2 linked regions of the Pelodiscus sinensis genome follow. The protein of the gene in region 1 interacts with the protein of each later gene in a biochemical or structural test. Links are inferred from orthologs where the notes say so. Each region holds a gene or a part of one and is shown on either strand. Other genes may lie near its edges.

What was found.
Region 2: the proteins of EYA2 (region 1) and SIX1 form a complex in vitro, tested with the Homo sapiens proteins (2 studies listed by IntAct, with this or other methods). The link is inferred for Pelodiscus sinensis from reciprocal best matches to the Homo sapiens genes EYA2 and SIX1.

The regions. Positions count from the first base shown.
Region 1 is NC_134728.1:22,269,745-22,277,904, reverse strand, and holds the start of EYA2 (protein phosphatase EYA2), read left to right. Parts: upstream 1-5,020; 5' UTR 5,021-5,041; intron 5,042-5,098; exon of another isoform or gene 5,099-5,274; intron 5,275-5,413; exon of another isoform or gene 5,414-5,790; intron 5,791-5,803; exon of another isoform or gene 5,804-6,082; intron 6,083-8,160. UniProt on the Homo sapiens protein: Functions both as protein phosphatase and as transcriptional coactivator for SIX1, and probably also for SIX2, SIX4 and SIX5.
Region 2 is NC_134714.1:13,196,633-13,204,403, reverse strand, and holds the start of SIX1 (homeobox protein SIX1), read left to right. Parts: upstream 1-4,669; 5' UTR 4,670-5,038; coding exon 5,039-5,598; intron 5,599-7,465; coding exon 7,466-7,739; 3' UTR 7,740-7,771. UniProt on the Homo sapiens protein: Transcription factor that is involved in the regulation of cell proliferation, apoptosis and embryonic development. Plays an important role in the development of several organs, including kidney, muscle and inner ear.

The sequences.
Region 1 (8,160 bases):
TCCAAATATTTAGTTCTGGGGAGACAAATATTACAGCAGTCCAGGAGATAATTGTTATGAGACCATAGTGTCACTAGCTCTTGCTATTTAATACCAAGTATCATGTAATTTGGAGTTTTTCTTATACCCTTCACTCCTAGAATCATATTTTTAGCTAATAATCACATCTTTCATGGGGAATGAGGAAGGAGGAAGTTGTTGGCCTTCATCATTGCAAAAAAAAGTTTAAAAAACCCTAAAGACTCAAATACAAGAAGACAAAAAGGACTCTAAACTTTTTATTTTTGAAATCTCATAATTTCTAAGCCAATGATTGGGGTTTTGCTCATAATTATTGGATGCTTAGGATTGGCAATACTGGATCATATCCTATCACATACTTCTCTACCCCGACTGGAATCCGTGCAACTTCCCACATGTCTAGGTAGGTTTCAGGAGTTGGTTTAAAGTCATAATTGAAGCTAAAAAGTGCTGCTAAGTTACGCTTAACTTTTCCCCCTTTGTCGCCTGGATTGATATACTGGGGAAACATTTGTTTTCCCTGATGTAACAGTTTTCATTCCTTGCCTCTTGGGGTGAATACTAGAGCTGGTTGGGGAATGTTCCCTTGGAATAATTTTCTGACAGAAAAAACAGTTTGCACAAAACTTGAATTTTCTGCTCCAGCTCCCCAGCAGCTTGACCTGGGAGGCTGCAGAGGATCTGGGGCTGCCAACTCTTCAGTAGTCCACATGACAAAATGCCGTAGAAGTGGGGTTCCTAAGACTCTATGGGCAGTTAGGCCCTCAGCTGGCCAGCTCCCTGGGATGCTTGCCTGGCAGCTGAGTGAACTATCCAGTGTTCCTGGCTGTACAACTAGCTTGCCAGCAGGACAGCCAGGGAGCCAGAAGAAAATATTTAAAAAATTCCCTTGTAGGTTTTCTGAATCTGTTCCCTACCCCCACCCCCAGATATTGCTGTTGCATGGGAAATTTTGCACTTATGATTTATTCCAATTCTTTTTTTTTTCTTTTCAGAAATACAAGTTTCCCATGGGATGAAAATTCTGGATCCTGCTCAGCTCTCGTGGATATACTTCACTCTTCCACTTGCATTTTTGGGCAATAGTTTTATCTTTTCAGTGTCTAGAAGTCACAGGACCAGCTCTGAATCGAATGACACCACCCTTCTGGAAATACATAAGAATCCTAAGGCCCAGGGCAATGAATTAAGTGGTTTCTGGAAATTTTACATAGCTACACATAGCTATAACAGTGAAACAAAGCAGCAGGTACGGTTCCATATTTCCCAGAGTTAGGCAGAACGTTAATCCATTTTGAATAACAAATCTAGTAAATAGTAAAATCTATGAATGACTAACCAGAGTCCATGTCACTGTTACATTCACGCCCTAGTTGTAGAGAACAGTTTTGCTTGTGCTTAGGATCTTATGGTCTTGATTCTTTTCCCACATGAAGGTAAAGTAGACAGTTCTCTCTCTCAGGTGTCTGAGGAGAAAATTGTATGCCTTTAACGGAAAGCATCCTTCTGGGAGCATTAGCCAGATGGCCCTTCAACTGTCTCAGCTGTAAGAACATAAAAAACGCTATCTAGTAATTGGACATATAGATTCTGAACTGTTATTAATTCACATATGTCTGCACAACATCCATTTGTTATTTAATCCACAGAGACAGCATGCACTATTGGAATAAGCACAAGGCTGGGAGTTAGGAAATCCCAATTTTTAATCCTGATTTGTTCTGTAACCTATCACAAATGATTTCACCTCTTTTTGCCTCAGATTCTCCAGCCATAAAATGGAAATAATGAAACTTTTTTTTCTGACTTAAGTGCTATAAGATCTCCAGATGAAAAGTGATATAAAAAGCTATATATCAAAATGGCTCAAAATATTTTGAATTATGAAAATGAATTCCCCCCCTTCAAAACTTCTCTACTAAACATATTACTAAAGTACTTCAGATAAATCAACATGCTACTATATAGAGCTGTTTGCCCATCCGCTCATAACAAGTGTTTCAGACCACAATTAATAATTGCTTTGCCTGTAAACTCTTTGGTGGGCAGGGACTGCCTTTTTATTCTGAATTTGTACAGCACCTAGCATAACAGATGTATGACCGAGCGTCCTTGGGCACTAATACAAATAATAATAATAAAGCTAGGCATGTGCCTGGCTTTAAGTACATGAGTAAACTTACTGGCTACGTCTAGACTGGCATGATTTTCCACAAATGCTTTTAACGGAAAACTTTTCCGTTAAAAGCATTTGCGGAAAAGAGCGTCTAGATTGGCACGGACGCTTTTCCGCAAAAGCATTTTTTGCGGAAAAGCGTCCATGCCAATCTAGATTCGCTTTTGCTCAAAATAAATCTGAGCTGTCTACACTGGCCCTTTTGCGCAAAAGCTTTGCGCAAAATGGACTTTTGCCCGAATGGGAGCAGCATAGTATTTCCACAAGAAGCACTGATTTCAGACAGTAGGAAGTCAGTGTTCTTGCAGAAATTCAAGCGGACAGTGTAGACAGCTGGCAAGTTTTTCCAGCTGCTTTTGCGGAAAAACTTGCCAATCTAGACATAGCCACTGAGTTCAATATGATTGATCATGTGCATAACATTGTGCAGCCACTAACATACTTAATTAAATGAGGAGCTGAGTTAATTTTGTATATAAGACATTTTAAAGTACCATTCCATATTTACCTACTTGGTAAATAGCCGAGTTAAGAGGGCAATCAGGTTATTGGAGGAAGGAGAAAGTGTTGTAGAGACTAACCCTGAAAGACATAGTTAATTCTGGATAGCCTGTGGACCAGTCATTGAGTCAGAATTCTGGGCGGGTGAAAAGAATCAGAGAAAGGATAATCCGGGCTAGTGATTTAGGCTAATTTAACACGAGTGACATGAATTCAGAACTGCAGCAAATCCTTGAGTTAGTTCTGTGAACTTATGGAGAAGAGTGAGAGTAACAACTGAAAGAGTTTTGGTTTTGGGGGCTATGGAAGGCAGTTCATGTTAGGAACTCTTCTAGCTCCATACTGATGCAGGACTCTAGATTTCTTTTGAAATGTCGGAATACTTTGCAGTCAGGCTGATCCAAAGGATTTTAGTAAAAACAGCTGTCTAGTAGTAGTGATGTTTTTGTTCCATTGTCAAATGAGTAAAATCCATGAGTGTATTAATATGTGTGGAAGAGACTGTCTGTATGTGTGAGAATGTGGGGTAGATGGTATGTACTCGGCGGCGGATATAGGGCAGGGCGAGTGAGGCAGCTGCCCCAGGCCCTGTGCTTCAATAGGCCCCGTGTCCTGAGCCTCGCAAAACTCATCCGCCCCTGTATGTACTTATGCACGTCTCCCCACGCATATAAGTACAAATCAGTAATGTGTATGTACTGAGAGGATCAGAATGCATCTGTGTTATCTCGTGGTTTTGTTGTGTATATATGGGACATGTATGAGTGTTTCTAATTGTTTGTGTGACTCATGTATCAAGCTACCCTGTATTGCGGTGGGTTGACTCTCCTAACAGAAGAAATTATAGGCTTTCCCTATCTGAAGGGGCTGCTTGGGGTGGTGCATACATCTTCTGCACTGTGAAAAACTCTGTTGCTGGCACATCCGTGATCACAGTAGGACAACTCAGGTGAATCACGTTACTCATGTAAGTGTTTTCAGGGTCAGGCCCTAGCATGTCAATACAGCTGGGCTAAAGCCGAAATAAGCTACGCAACTTCAGCTATGTCAATTGCGTAGCTTAAGTTGAAATAGCTTATTTAGGCTTTTGGTGCTGTCTACGCAGCAGAAAGTCTAAGGAAGAGCACTCTTTCTCCAACTTCTCATCCTCCTTGTAAAATGAGAGTTGCAGGAGTTGGAGCAAGAAGTCCTCCAGCTGGACATTATTTCAATATTATGTTGAAATAATTGCTTGTAGTGTAGACACAGACTATGTTATTTTGAAATAACGTCAGTGAAGTAGCATGTATAAGAGCAAACTGCCACAAAAACAATTGTTTTACTGTAGTGGAAACCAACTTCTATGAAGAAGTTTTGATATTTGGACATCCACTTTGAAACCAGTTACCTCATCAATCTCTTTTGTTGACAATTTAAATGGCTATTTATATCAATTGATAGCTACTTATTTATCTTAATAAAACCAACAAAAGCATGCTATACTATTATGCATTTCTAAATGATGGAAAACATATATTGGTTTTTGTTATGTTTTGTCACATTTTGTAAAGGTCCTTCTTTAGCCAAACAACGTTTTATAATAGGAGGCAAGTTTGACAACAGCAGCAGAAGCATTATGAATTCAGAAGAGGGAAATAATAGGCTAAACAATTGTCAGTAAAATCAAAATAAATACAATCAAGAATGATAATTAAGAGGAATGCAGAGTAATATGAAAGACAATTAAGAGTAAAAATATATTCTATATATTAGCAGACACATTTGCACAATGTACATGGAACAACCCTGTGTATCTCACCCTATGAAAACTTCTTGACGGCACCATGAAATCATTATTGGGGTAACAGCTCTTGAGTGCTGCCAACTTTGGTGGCTTTTTTTATGGCAAGAAGTTGTCATATTTGGTGATTTACCTCTGATCTTAGCTTTTGGATACAAGCAATTGATTCCCTGAGGCGCTCAGAATTCTCTCTCCGAATTCTCTCTCTTTTCTAACACTCGTGTGGGAGGAGAAGGGTCACATTTTCAAGCCTAAGTGCGCCCTACAGGCTCCAAGCTAGCAGGCAAGCGACAATAAATCCCCAAATATTGTTTTTATGGTGATTTTTTTCAACCCCTCTCATGATTTTATGGGGGTGTTGGTTATTAAGTCTGGCTCCAACTTTTACTTCACTCTAGGGACCACGCCTGCCCCCCGCATCCTTTGCTCCAGTACTGCAGAGGCGCACCAGAGCGCTGCAATCCCCTGCTAGTTCTGTGACACCGCTGTCTAACACCTGCCCTTCCGTCTCCCCAGCAGCCCTGCGCTCCGGGGTCGCTCGAGGACTCCTGGCGGGGGAGAAGGTAAGGGCAGAGGCGTCACTCTCCCAGCGGGCATGTGCACACACACTCCGCACATGCTCACTGGGGCTGTGTCAGGAGTTTGGAGGGCACATTGGGAAACCAGGCAGAGGCTGCTCTTACACCGGCTCTGGAGTTCCCAGCCGCGCAGCAGCTGCCCCGGCCTCCCTCCCCTGGCGGGCGCTGCGGGGACAGGAAGCTGAGAGCCCCGGGGCGAACACCGTCCGTAGCCGGTGGTGAGTGCGCCCCCTTTCCCTGCCAGTGCGCTGGCCCCGGGGTGGAACGGAGAGGGGCATTGGGGAGCTCTGGGCACCGGCCCTTGCTCGGGGCGGGGAGAGGCCAGGGATGCTTTAGGCACGGCTCCCCACGCCCTTGTCCAGGCTGCTGCCTAAGGGACATGTGCCCAGCGGGCACTACGCACCGGGTTTGGGCGCTGGGATGAAATACCCAGCTCCGGTCCTTCCCATGCTGCCGCCTTCTGTTTCTTAGGGCTGGGGAGCGGGGCGTGGGGAGCCCGGCCAGTGCATCTCCCCAGACCAATACCCCCAACCTGCCCCATCGCAGGGAAGGAAGAGGAAACTGTCACACTCGACCGCATGGTCGTGGCACACGCTCCTTGTCTCCTCGCAGGAGCCGCGCTTGGAAAAAATTCTTCCCTCCACTTCCTAAAAGCAGAGACTTGCCCGCGGCGTGCCTGGGTCGCTGCGGTATTTCTCCCTGCCCTTGCCCACCCCGGCGAGGGGCAGCAGCCGGTAGGAGAATCGGTGGCATTTTACACTGGTTAAGCAGTTAACAGAAAATCAAACTCATGAGCATGGAAATGACGCTGTTTGTTTGCTCAGTCCTCGTATGGTTTTGGAGCAGTTTGCAAAAGGCAGGGAGGGTGAGTCGAACGAGACTGAGCAGGGGGGTTAAATAGTGTTGATAAGAGTAGGAAGGGAGTTCTTTGTGGGTGAAATCTTCCTTGGTGACACTAGTTCGCTCATGGGGCTGGAAGCGGGAGAGCGGAGTATTGAATTAATGTTAAGCCTCATGCCATTGTGGGTAGGTGAATATTGATTCTGCTTTCTCAGTTTTCTGTGAACACATGGGGTAATTTTAAAAACAATGAGTAGTCCTGTGGCACCTTAGAAACTAACAGAGGTATAGGACCATGAGCATTCGTGGGTAAAACCCACTTTCATCAGATGAGCTGGAGTGGAATATTTGTTTGCTATAAGTCGATAATGGTGTGATTTACCCTATGCATCAGTAGTTTTGAATCATGTGGGAAAAGAGTGTGACTGTGTGTGGACAGACAGTAAAACTTAGTATACAAAAGTAGAGATTTTTCCTTCACTAAAGAGCAATTTGATACGTTTTTCATTTCCATTCTAAAGTACCAGTTATTTGTCCATAATAATGCTTAAGATGCAAGTACTTCTATTTATACTTCCACTCTGCAAATGCTCTGGCTATTTTTTATTCTGTAAGTGTAATTGCATTCTTATTTTGGGTTCATTGGCATACATTTAAAGTAGGGTGATAACTTATTTCAGATTTAAGGCTCCCTATTACAGCAATACAGAACACAAGATAATGCATTGTTTTGTTTTGGAGACATTTCACTCATGCTAGGAAGCAGTTTGAACAGAGACAAGACCATTAAAAGAACATCAAAATAAAGTAATTAGAAATTACTGCAATGTGAAGTTGTAAAATGTTAGCTTAGGCTTGATGTACTGAATACCTTCGTGCCCAAAAAAAAGTAACCTAAAAAATGTCAGAAAACTGTATTGCAAAAACATTGTCATCAATTCTGCAATGGCTTTTTAAATGTAGTACTGGAGCATAAGATTTAACGTTTTATATCTGGAATTAGTTTAAATTAGTTAACTGGCGTTTTTAAGAAACACTATGCAAGGCATTTAACTAGTGTAAAACAAGTTTATTTACAAACCACAACTAAGTAACTTAATTATAGACTTAAATAAAATTAAGTAATACAAAATCTTTGTTCTCAGTGAACAGAGGGGGAAAACCTTTAGTGTGATTTATACGCTTAAACACAGCTTGTTGAATTCAGAGAATGCTGCTAAATGAAATTATTTCAGGTATACAGCCGCTGTATTTCAAATTACTAATCTATTGATTTAATATGTTCCTCTTGGATGAAATTTTTAATTGTTAAAACACATGGTTAATTAAACTTTTATTGGTCTACATCCAATTTATTAAAAACTGTTTTGTTTGGTAGAGTATCAGACATGCATATTCCTTAACACTCCTAATGTAACTGGACAAAATGGTTTAATTGTTCAGACTTAATAGAATTTGCTGGTTGGTTTACTGAGAATTTTCCTCTTTTGGAATGCTTTTAATGGAGTATTTTGTCATTCATAGTTTCCAAATACACCGAGGACTTCTATTTTCATGTGACACTGCAATTCATATGTATTGGACATTTTTGAACGTTCTTGCATGCTGAGCCCAAGAAGATAGCAGATATTTAACCTGTTTGTTTGTTTCCAAAGTAAAAACAGCTTAAAGGGCGCTAAGATGTTAGATTTAAAAATCTAGGACAGGCTGATTCTTTTTCTGGGCCATCTTGCACCATCACTTTTTAAAGACAAATAATTTCCATTTCTGCTTAACAATTGATGGCCCATAATATTGTAAGTGTGATTATGAGAGACTTCAAGATGGTTGTCCTACAGAGTTGTAAGTATTTGTAGCATTGAATATGTTCCAATATCATCTTTCAAAAATCACATTTGAAATTCATTTGGAGAGGCGTATTACAGCCAATAACCCTGATGATTGTTTTTTAACAAACTACTCTCCAAAATCCAAAAAAAGCCAGAAAAATCCTCTCAAAAGAGTACTTCATGATTTTATCTTAAATAATAAAATTAATTAAAATCAAATTGTTCATGTGACAGATTTATTCAAATAAACAACAGCAGGTTATAAATTTATCTATTAAACATTATCATTTGTATTCCCTCACCACCATTTTGTTTTTAAATATTTCAGTGAGACTAGATCCCCATGACTTGCTAATTATAAGACCATAATTTGGTTGAAAGGGTCTAAATGCGCTATTGTTTAAAAAATGTCACAACCTTTGTCATTTTAAATTT
Region 2 (7,771 bases), on another chromosome or scaffold:
TCCTGCCTGTTTGACCCGGCTGTCGGGGGGTGTATGGGTGGGTGGCTGCTTTCTCGATCTGTCTGAACTGCACAGACACTCAATATGACGAAGATTTATTTTTTTGTTTAAATCTCCGTTTTTTAAATTAAAACGGAATTCCCCCGCCCCCCCCCCCCCCCCCGCCGCCCAATACTGATGAATGCAAAAAGCAGAGCAAGCGAGGGGTTGCAAAGAGCGCTGCACAAACAGCGAGGGCTCGCCTGCTTCTTAGCGCTCTGCGCCAAAACAAATCAGCCCCTCATGGTCTCGGTTTAAATGCAGCTCACTGGATAATTAACTCCATCTTTCCAGCCCAACTTAACTGTTTATTTAGTGTCACCCTGTATTACCATCACTAGCACTTTCCTCGGAACAGGAGGAGCTGGAGGCTTTCACCTCCAAAAAGGAAATTCTTCTTAGCTTAGACAGATCCAGCATCCAGGATGTACATTAGTGCAAAAGAAAAAAAAGGGGGCGGGGGGCTTTGACTGGGAACTCAAGAGGAAAAAAGGCGAAGGGAGGAAGTAAAGAAATACACATACACATTTTGTCAGCCTGGCTAAAGAAGAAAACGCGTGATCACCTCTAATCCTTTGAAAAATGCCCCGGTAACTATACAAAGAAAGAGCCCTTTGTATGTCATTATTATCTTATGTGAATCATGTCCAACGCTGGCTTTTAGGGTGTAGGGGCACTTGAGATAGGCCCTCCCCTCGTTCAGTCTAACATCCCTTAGCTGCTAGGCAGGTCTGTTCTTTGGAGTTCCCAGCCGGGAAAGTTTCCGTCTTCCCCAAAACTTTGCGTTTTCAGTCTCTGGGCAGTTCGGAGCCAAGCATTCAGGACCAAGGCGGGCCCAGCAGAATGATGGTTCCCTTCGTTTTTGTTGTCCACAAAACAACCCAGTCCCCCCTCCTCCCCGCACCCGGAGGGGAGGCACAGTTGTCATTCAGCAGCATACATCTGCACACCCCTCCGAGGGAGGAGAATCCCAAACTGCCCCCTTTCCACCCTGCCAACTCCTGCAAACCTTCTTCCCCCAAACTGCCCCTGATTGTTTTTCCTTGTGCTTGGGCTCTAATACCACGAAACCATCCAGGACAAAAGGGAGCCGATATTTTCAGGAGATAGACAAACCGGACGGATTTAAGGAGACGCTCCCTCCCTGCCTGGCCCCTCCCAAGATGCCTGCTGACACCAACTTTGTTTTTACAGGTGTCTTGGGGCAATTACGAACAAGTAATTAAAGGTTCTATTGGTTTCCAGGCATCTTGGGCCATAGGCTTCTATAGATAACAGCAAATAATATGGAAAGAGTTCTGTCCTTTTTGGGTTTTTTTTTTTTTATAAAGAAAATACAAATCCTTATTGTTTAGAAATAAGCCAAGGAAACTGGCTGTCTCCCCTGTGCCTTGCAGCTGGGAAGGAGGGCTGCAGAGATCCGGTATCACGTTGCAGATTCTCACTAAAGATAACGAAATGTGATCTATTTTTCAGAACAGCAAGTGGATGGGAAAGCAACCCTTTACAACACAAAACTCATTTGCTAATGGCCTGGTTTTGTATTTCCCCATCTCAAGGTTCGGAAATCGCCCGCGTTGTGTTACTGCACTTCCAGTTCGCCCATTCTAAAGAGCATATTTTATTCTCACTAGTAGACTGGCTCCTCCAAATTTTGCGGCCGCCCTTGTTTGTTGTCACTGTTTTAATCTTTATGGTGTTGGGACTGGACTGACCTGGGAGGTTTCTCATCAGATGAAGAACACAACCGCAGATGTGCATCATATCCGCGGTCATTTTAATTTTGCACTAATAAATTGTCTGAACAAATCCATAAATAAAAAAGTTTTCTAAACTCTTCCCCAAACGCTGATACACTTGGCAAAGTTGCGTTCGATCTTCTTAATTTTAAAACATATTCGATTAGCCCGGTGGATAGCTATAAGCATACCCTATCTTATTATATAAGAGCACAAAATAATGGCCTGTTTTATATTAAATCTGTAAGCACATTTGATTTAAGGCCTTATGAAAATGTCCCTTTATCACATATCTAGGCTTTTAAGAAAAAATACTGTAGTCAAAGGCATATTCAACTATCCATTACAATTATTTTTAAACAAAATATTTTGATAAACATTACCTACATTTTTTCCGAGAGAAAATCAGGGCAATGAACTCAGATTTAAAATGGTGCTTATTTTCTTTCTACAGAGGGAAAAATATCTATGGAGCCTGCAATCGGTTTTGTTGTTATTTGGTTATTGACATCAAATGATTTTGCTGGAACAATAAAACCCAGTCTGTGTGCTTTTAAAAGGAGAAATCGGTTAGTGTGGTTTGTAAATTCATGTCATTTTACCTCTTTCAGTGGTTTACAGGGAAAGCTTTCCATTTTAGGAAAACCAGTTCGGGCCAATAATTAACATTCATAATAAATGGTTCTCTTATGTAGGATGGAGTAGATACTACCCGCGTGAACAAGGCACACGCCCCTTCGGTACTGGATTTCTGATTACACTGAAGAATAACCATTTTGGAGTAGGAAAGGAAGGGTTCCGACGATGCACAAGTTCTTGTCAAGTTCTTGTCAATTTCACTTCATCCACTGGCTTATTCTAAAATAGTGTTTATTTGGCCGGACTTTTAAAGATACACAACAAACCAGGTATAAATATCTGTCTTTCTGCTTACGAATTAGTCCTTTAGGTCAATTTGTCAGCTCAAAACACCTTGAAAATTACTATTTATTTCCTTATTTAAAATATTAGCAAAAAATCACTTAGTAAACTCGCATTTGGACGTGGAATTTCTATTCCAGGCGACAATCACTTAAAGTTGCAACCTCATATATTATAATTCTGCGCACTTGCTCTAGACTTTAGGGTATTAGTTGATTTTAGAGCTGGGTTTAAGACTCCGTTCCGGTCCCCACACAGCTGCCTTGTCAATAAGGATCTGTTCCAAGTAGAGACATTCCTTCTGGCAGGACATTGCAGCTCTTTAAGACTTCATCTGAAACATCATAAGTACTAAAATAAAATGGCAAGGGAAAATTACCAGACACATGGTCATGGTATATAGAAGTGCCATGACTCCAGTTTAGTAAGTAAAGCCATTGTACAGACTGTGGGGGCAGTGGCTTTCTTTAAACAGCTCAAATAGCCATTAAATATATTTAAAAAATAATCTAGGCGTACATAAATATCAACGTCTGCTTTCAGCCTGTTTCACTGTAGATGAGAACGCTTACTTCGGAAATGCCAAGTATATTGCGTTCACACTCGCGCGCGCAGATCTCACTATGTGCTTTTAGATTATATATATTTTTTCTCTATAAAACCTCAGAATCAACGGTTTGTGGAAAATACGAAGGTTGCTGTTGCTGGCACTTTATCAGAGACAAATGTACCATTCCAAATGTCAAGGAAAACAGAACTATGAGCATCAATGTATACAAACAATAAAGCTGATATGCCAGTACACGCTTTTTTCTGTCAGCCTCCGCACTTAACTTTAATAGTCTAAAGTAAAAAAAAATCCAATTGTATTTCGTGAGGACAAAGGGGTTTTAAAGAGCATCGCGACTGTGATTAGCACTAAGTGAATTCATTCTTAAATCAAAAGAATTCTGAAGTGTACTTAAAATTCTGTTTTCAGCTTATCTAATCAAAGATAAATACAGTCATAAAGACACCCTCTTCCCACCATTCTGCTTTCCTTATCTCTGCTTATTGTTCTTATCGCTTACCCCGTCCCCTGCTACTGACAATAGATTATCTTTGTTTAGGGAAGCTAATTGTTTTCAAAATCTTTTTTTTAAATAATACCTGCTTATAGACAAGGTGTGCAAATGAGGATTAGGATTATTAAAGCGGCGTTTGTTCGTTCAGTTTTGCTAAATATTGCAGCGCGCACACACAAAGAAGGCGAACAGTGCAGAAGCGCCTTTCATTTCTACTAAATTTGCGACCCAAGTTCATCACTCCACCCGGAAGGCACAAGAACAAACACTGACGCTGTTTACTTATACTTCTTATACATCATCTTGTACTTAGGAGCTGGGTCCACACCTCAACTAAACAATTGTTAGAGGGATGATTTCTCTAATTCGAATTCAGATCTACTTCAGTCTAAACGCTTTATCCCTCTCCCCACCCCCCAAAAGCAGCACTTTCAGTTTTGCCAGTGCCTCAGCAGCAATTCATGGCGAAGACACTTTGAATGAGGCCCTTGGACATGCCTCCCCCTCTACCCTCACACAACCACCCCCACCACCTAGCCCTCCTGTCCTCCAGCCCAAAGTTACGGCTCCCTCCTTTATTATTTATCATGCTGCATGAGCTATTCATCAAGCCGTTATTTATTCATTCCCAACATTAAGGTAATTAAATATGAGCTCACAGGGAAGGAGCAGGGCTGGAAGGGACCAGGAGGTGGCGGGGGGAGGGAGGAGGGGGACCTTTCTTAAGGGCTGTAATAATTGATTTGTGCAGAGATGAGCCCCCGCTCCCTTTAGGTGACACTTGAGAAGGGGCTCATATTGCAGGGCCCTGACGTGTCTCCCCTCTCGGGACGGAGCGGCTCCCCCCTCCCCGCCCCCCTTGCTCCGCTCTCACACACAGGCTCAGCCACTCAGTCATCAGACACCAACCAGCAGCAGCAGCAGCAGCAGCAACTCGGCTGGCGGGCCGGGCCTCCCCGCGCTGCCCTGCTGCCTCGCAGGCCGCGCGCCCCTGGCGGAGCCTCCGATAGGCGCGGGGGGCGTCCAATCAGCGCGGCCCGGCGGCTCGGGCGCTTTAAGCCTCGCGGCGGTGGCCGAGCCGCAAAGTTTCCCCCAGCAACAATCCGAGCATCCCACCCGCCCTCGGCCCCCCCCGCGGCTCGCGCCCAGGCCGGGGCTCCGCGCGCTGCCTTCTCTGCCCTCTTCCCCCCCTCCCTCGCCCAGTCCCCGGGAGCGCCCGGCCTCGCGCCGGCTTCTCACCTGGCCCCGGCAGGGCCGCGCCGCCGAGCCCCAGCCATGTCCATGCTGCCGTCCTTCGGCTTCACGCAGGAGCAAGTGGCCTGCGTGTGCGAGGTGCTGCAGCAAGGGGGGAACCTGGAGCGGCTGGGCCGCTTCCTCTGGTCCCTGCCCGCCTGCGACCACCTGCACAAGAACGAGAGCGTGCTGAAAGCCAAGGCGGTGGTGGCCTTCCACCGGGGCAACTTCCGCGAGCTCTACAAGATCCTGGAGAGCCACCAGTTCTCGCCCCACAACCACCCCAAGCTGCAGCAGCTCTGGCTCAAGGCGCACTACGTGGAAGCCGAGAAGCTGCGGGGCCGGCCGCTGGGCGCCGTGGGCAAGTACCGCGTGCGCCGAAAATTCCCCCTGCCCCGCACCATCTGGGACGGCGAGGAGACCAGCTACTGCTTCAAGGAGAAGTCCCGGGGCGTGCTGCGGGAGTGGTACGCGCACAACCCCTACCCCTCGCCCCGCGAGAAAAGGGAGCTGGCCGAGGCCACCGGCCTCACTACCACCCAGGTCAGCAACTGGTTTAAAAACAGGAGGCAGCGGGACCGAGCAGCCGAGGCGAAGGAAAGGTACTTGCCCTGCCGTTTCTTCCTCCCTTCCCCTCCTGCCCTGCGCTTGGTCGGGGCTGCCTGGATCTGCACCGGGCGCGCCAGCCAGAAAGCTCACGCTTTAGATAAGGAAGGAGAATTTGGGTTATTTGGGGAGGGGAATATGGGGGTATCTGTGTCTGTTTCAGCCCTGCTTAGGGCGCCAGGGAATAGCCGAAATCAGGATTTGTAGCACTGCACCCCGCAAAACTCCCAAGGTACGGAAGGGGGGTGTGCGGTTTTTTTAAGTGCAGCTGGGTAAGGTGAAGACATAACAAATGGAAAAGCGTGGCCAGTAAGCGCCCCCAAAGGGAAAGGTGATCCCTATGTTGCTGGGGTTCTGCCCGGTGGTGGTTTAGGGGGAGACGGTGCCAGGCAGGGGATACTGTGCCTCTGGCATTGAGAGCAGTGATCCGGGAAGAATAAAATCGGATGGGGGGGGGCACCAGCCAGATCATTGGGGGGGGAGCACCCACTAGCCAGATCATTCTCTTTGGAGTCACTTTTTCAAAGCGAAACCTGCATTTCATCCCCCCCCCCCCCCCGGCGAAATGACAGGCTGGAGGAAAACGGGTTTGCTATTTTCGCGCAGAAGGCGATTTATAAGGCATTGAAAGACCCTCTGAAAAAAATCGCTCTTCGTCCTGGCACCCGGACACTACATCCCCACCTGCCTAGCGCGAAGGCTTAACTAAACTTTTAAGTGACTTGTGTGGAGTTCACCTTGGCCATTCTTGCCTTTTGTTTTTCATCCCTTCCCTCCTGAGCGCCAGGGAGTCAGGGAAGTTTGTGGCAGGCAGATCGGACAGGGAAGTAAATGAGAGCGAGGCATTAAGGGGAGATCGTTTCATTCTTTGCCTTTTATTCAGCTCCTGGCCTCTCGGGCGCTGGGGTTGTATTCCCGTCTGGCAGGGCTGTCCTGTGGCCGGGGTCCGGAAGAGAAAGAGAAACCCGAGAGGTTGCAGCCGCGCGCTTATGAAATTAACCAGGAGTGAGTCAGGGCTGAGACACTTTCAACCGCACACGCAGATCCGGGGTAACAGAGCTTGTAGACCTACTCTGGAGGGAAGCGGGTTCGCTAACCGCTGTGTGAACCGGTTCGGAACCACCTCTGTAGTTCAAACGGGATTTAAATCCCAGCAAGGAGCCAGTTGGGAAACCAGGCCTGTGGCTCCCTTCCTCCTTAGCCGAAAGAGACAGATCTTCGGGGCACAGCCTCGGTGCGCGTCCTGCTCCCGCACTAATCTCTCTGCTACCTCCCTGCTTTGTTAGATCTCAGCTCTAGCGGTTTTAGAAGGCTCTCTACATATTTGACCCCCCCCCCCGGAAAGAGCGGTTTTAAATGTAAAAAAAGCCCCTGTCCTCACCCAAGTTACCATGCACATCACTTACATGAAACCGTGCAGCTGTTTACATAGGCCGAATACAGCAGCTCCAGCCATGGATCTGTAGCTAAAATAGCAAACACTTTTCCGGGTGCTTTTGAATACTGGCTGTGGGGAGGGTTATTCTTTTCTAATCAAATGTTTTGTTAAAACTAAATTTGTTGCGAGGCAGCCCGCAGAATGAGACGCGTTCGCGTAAGAGAGTGGGTCTTGCTTGAGTTTCTCTCTTGTCCCGAGTGTAGTGGGGAGAGCGCTCAAAACGGATACATTGATAAGGAATTGCTCCAGCTTCCCTCCTGGCATTGGTGAGGGAGAACATAGAAACGCCACTGTTGTTGTTTTTTGTTTGTTTGTTTTATGCCTCTTTTGAGCATTATACAAATTGAGCGTCGCTTTAAGCTGCTGAACTAACTGCGACGCTGTTCCTACTTTGTAACAAACACGCTGCTTTCTCTTTTTCTTAGGGAGAACACTGAAAACAACAACACATCCACCAACAAACCCAACCAGCTCTCTCCCCTGGATGGGGGCAAACCGCTTATGTCCAGCTCCGAAGAAGAATTCTCCCCCCCACAAAGTCCGGATCAGAACTCAGTCCTTCTATTACAGGGAAACCTTAGCCACGCCAGGAGCTCCAACTATTCCCTGACCGGCTTAACAGCCTCTCAGACCAGCCACAGCCTTCAGGACTCCCTGCTAGGACCCCTCACCTCGAGCTTGGTAGATCTCGGCTCCTAAAAACAAGGAGACCAAGCAGCCGTGAAAGCAAT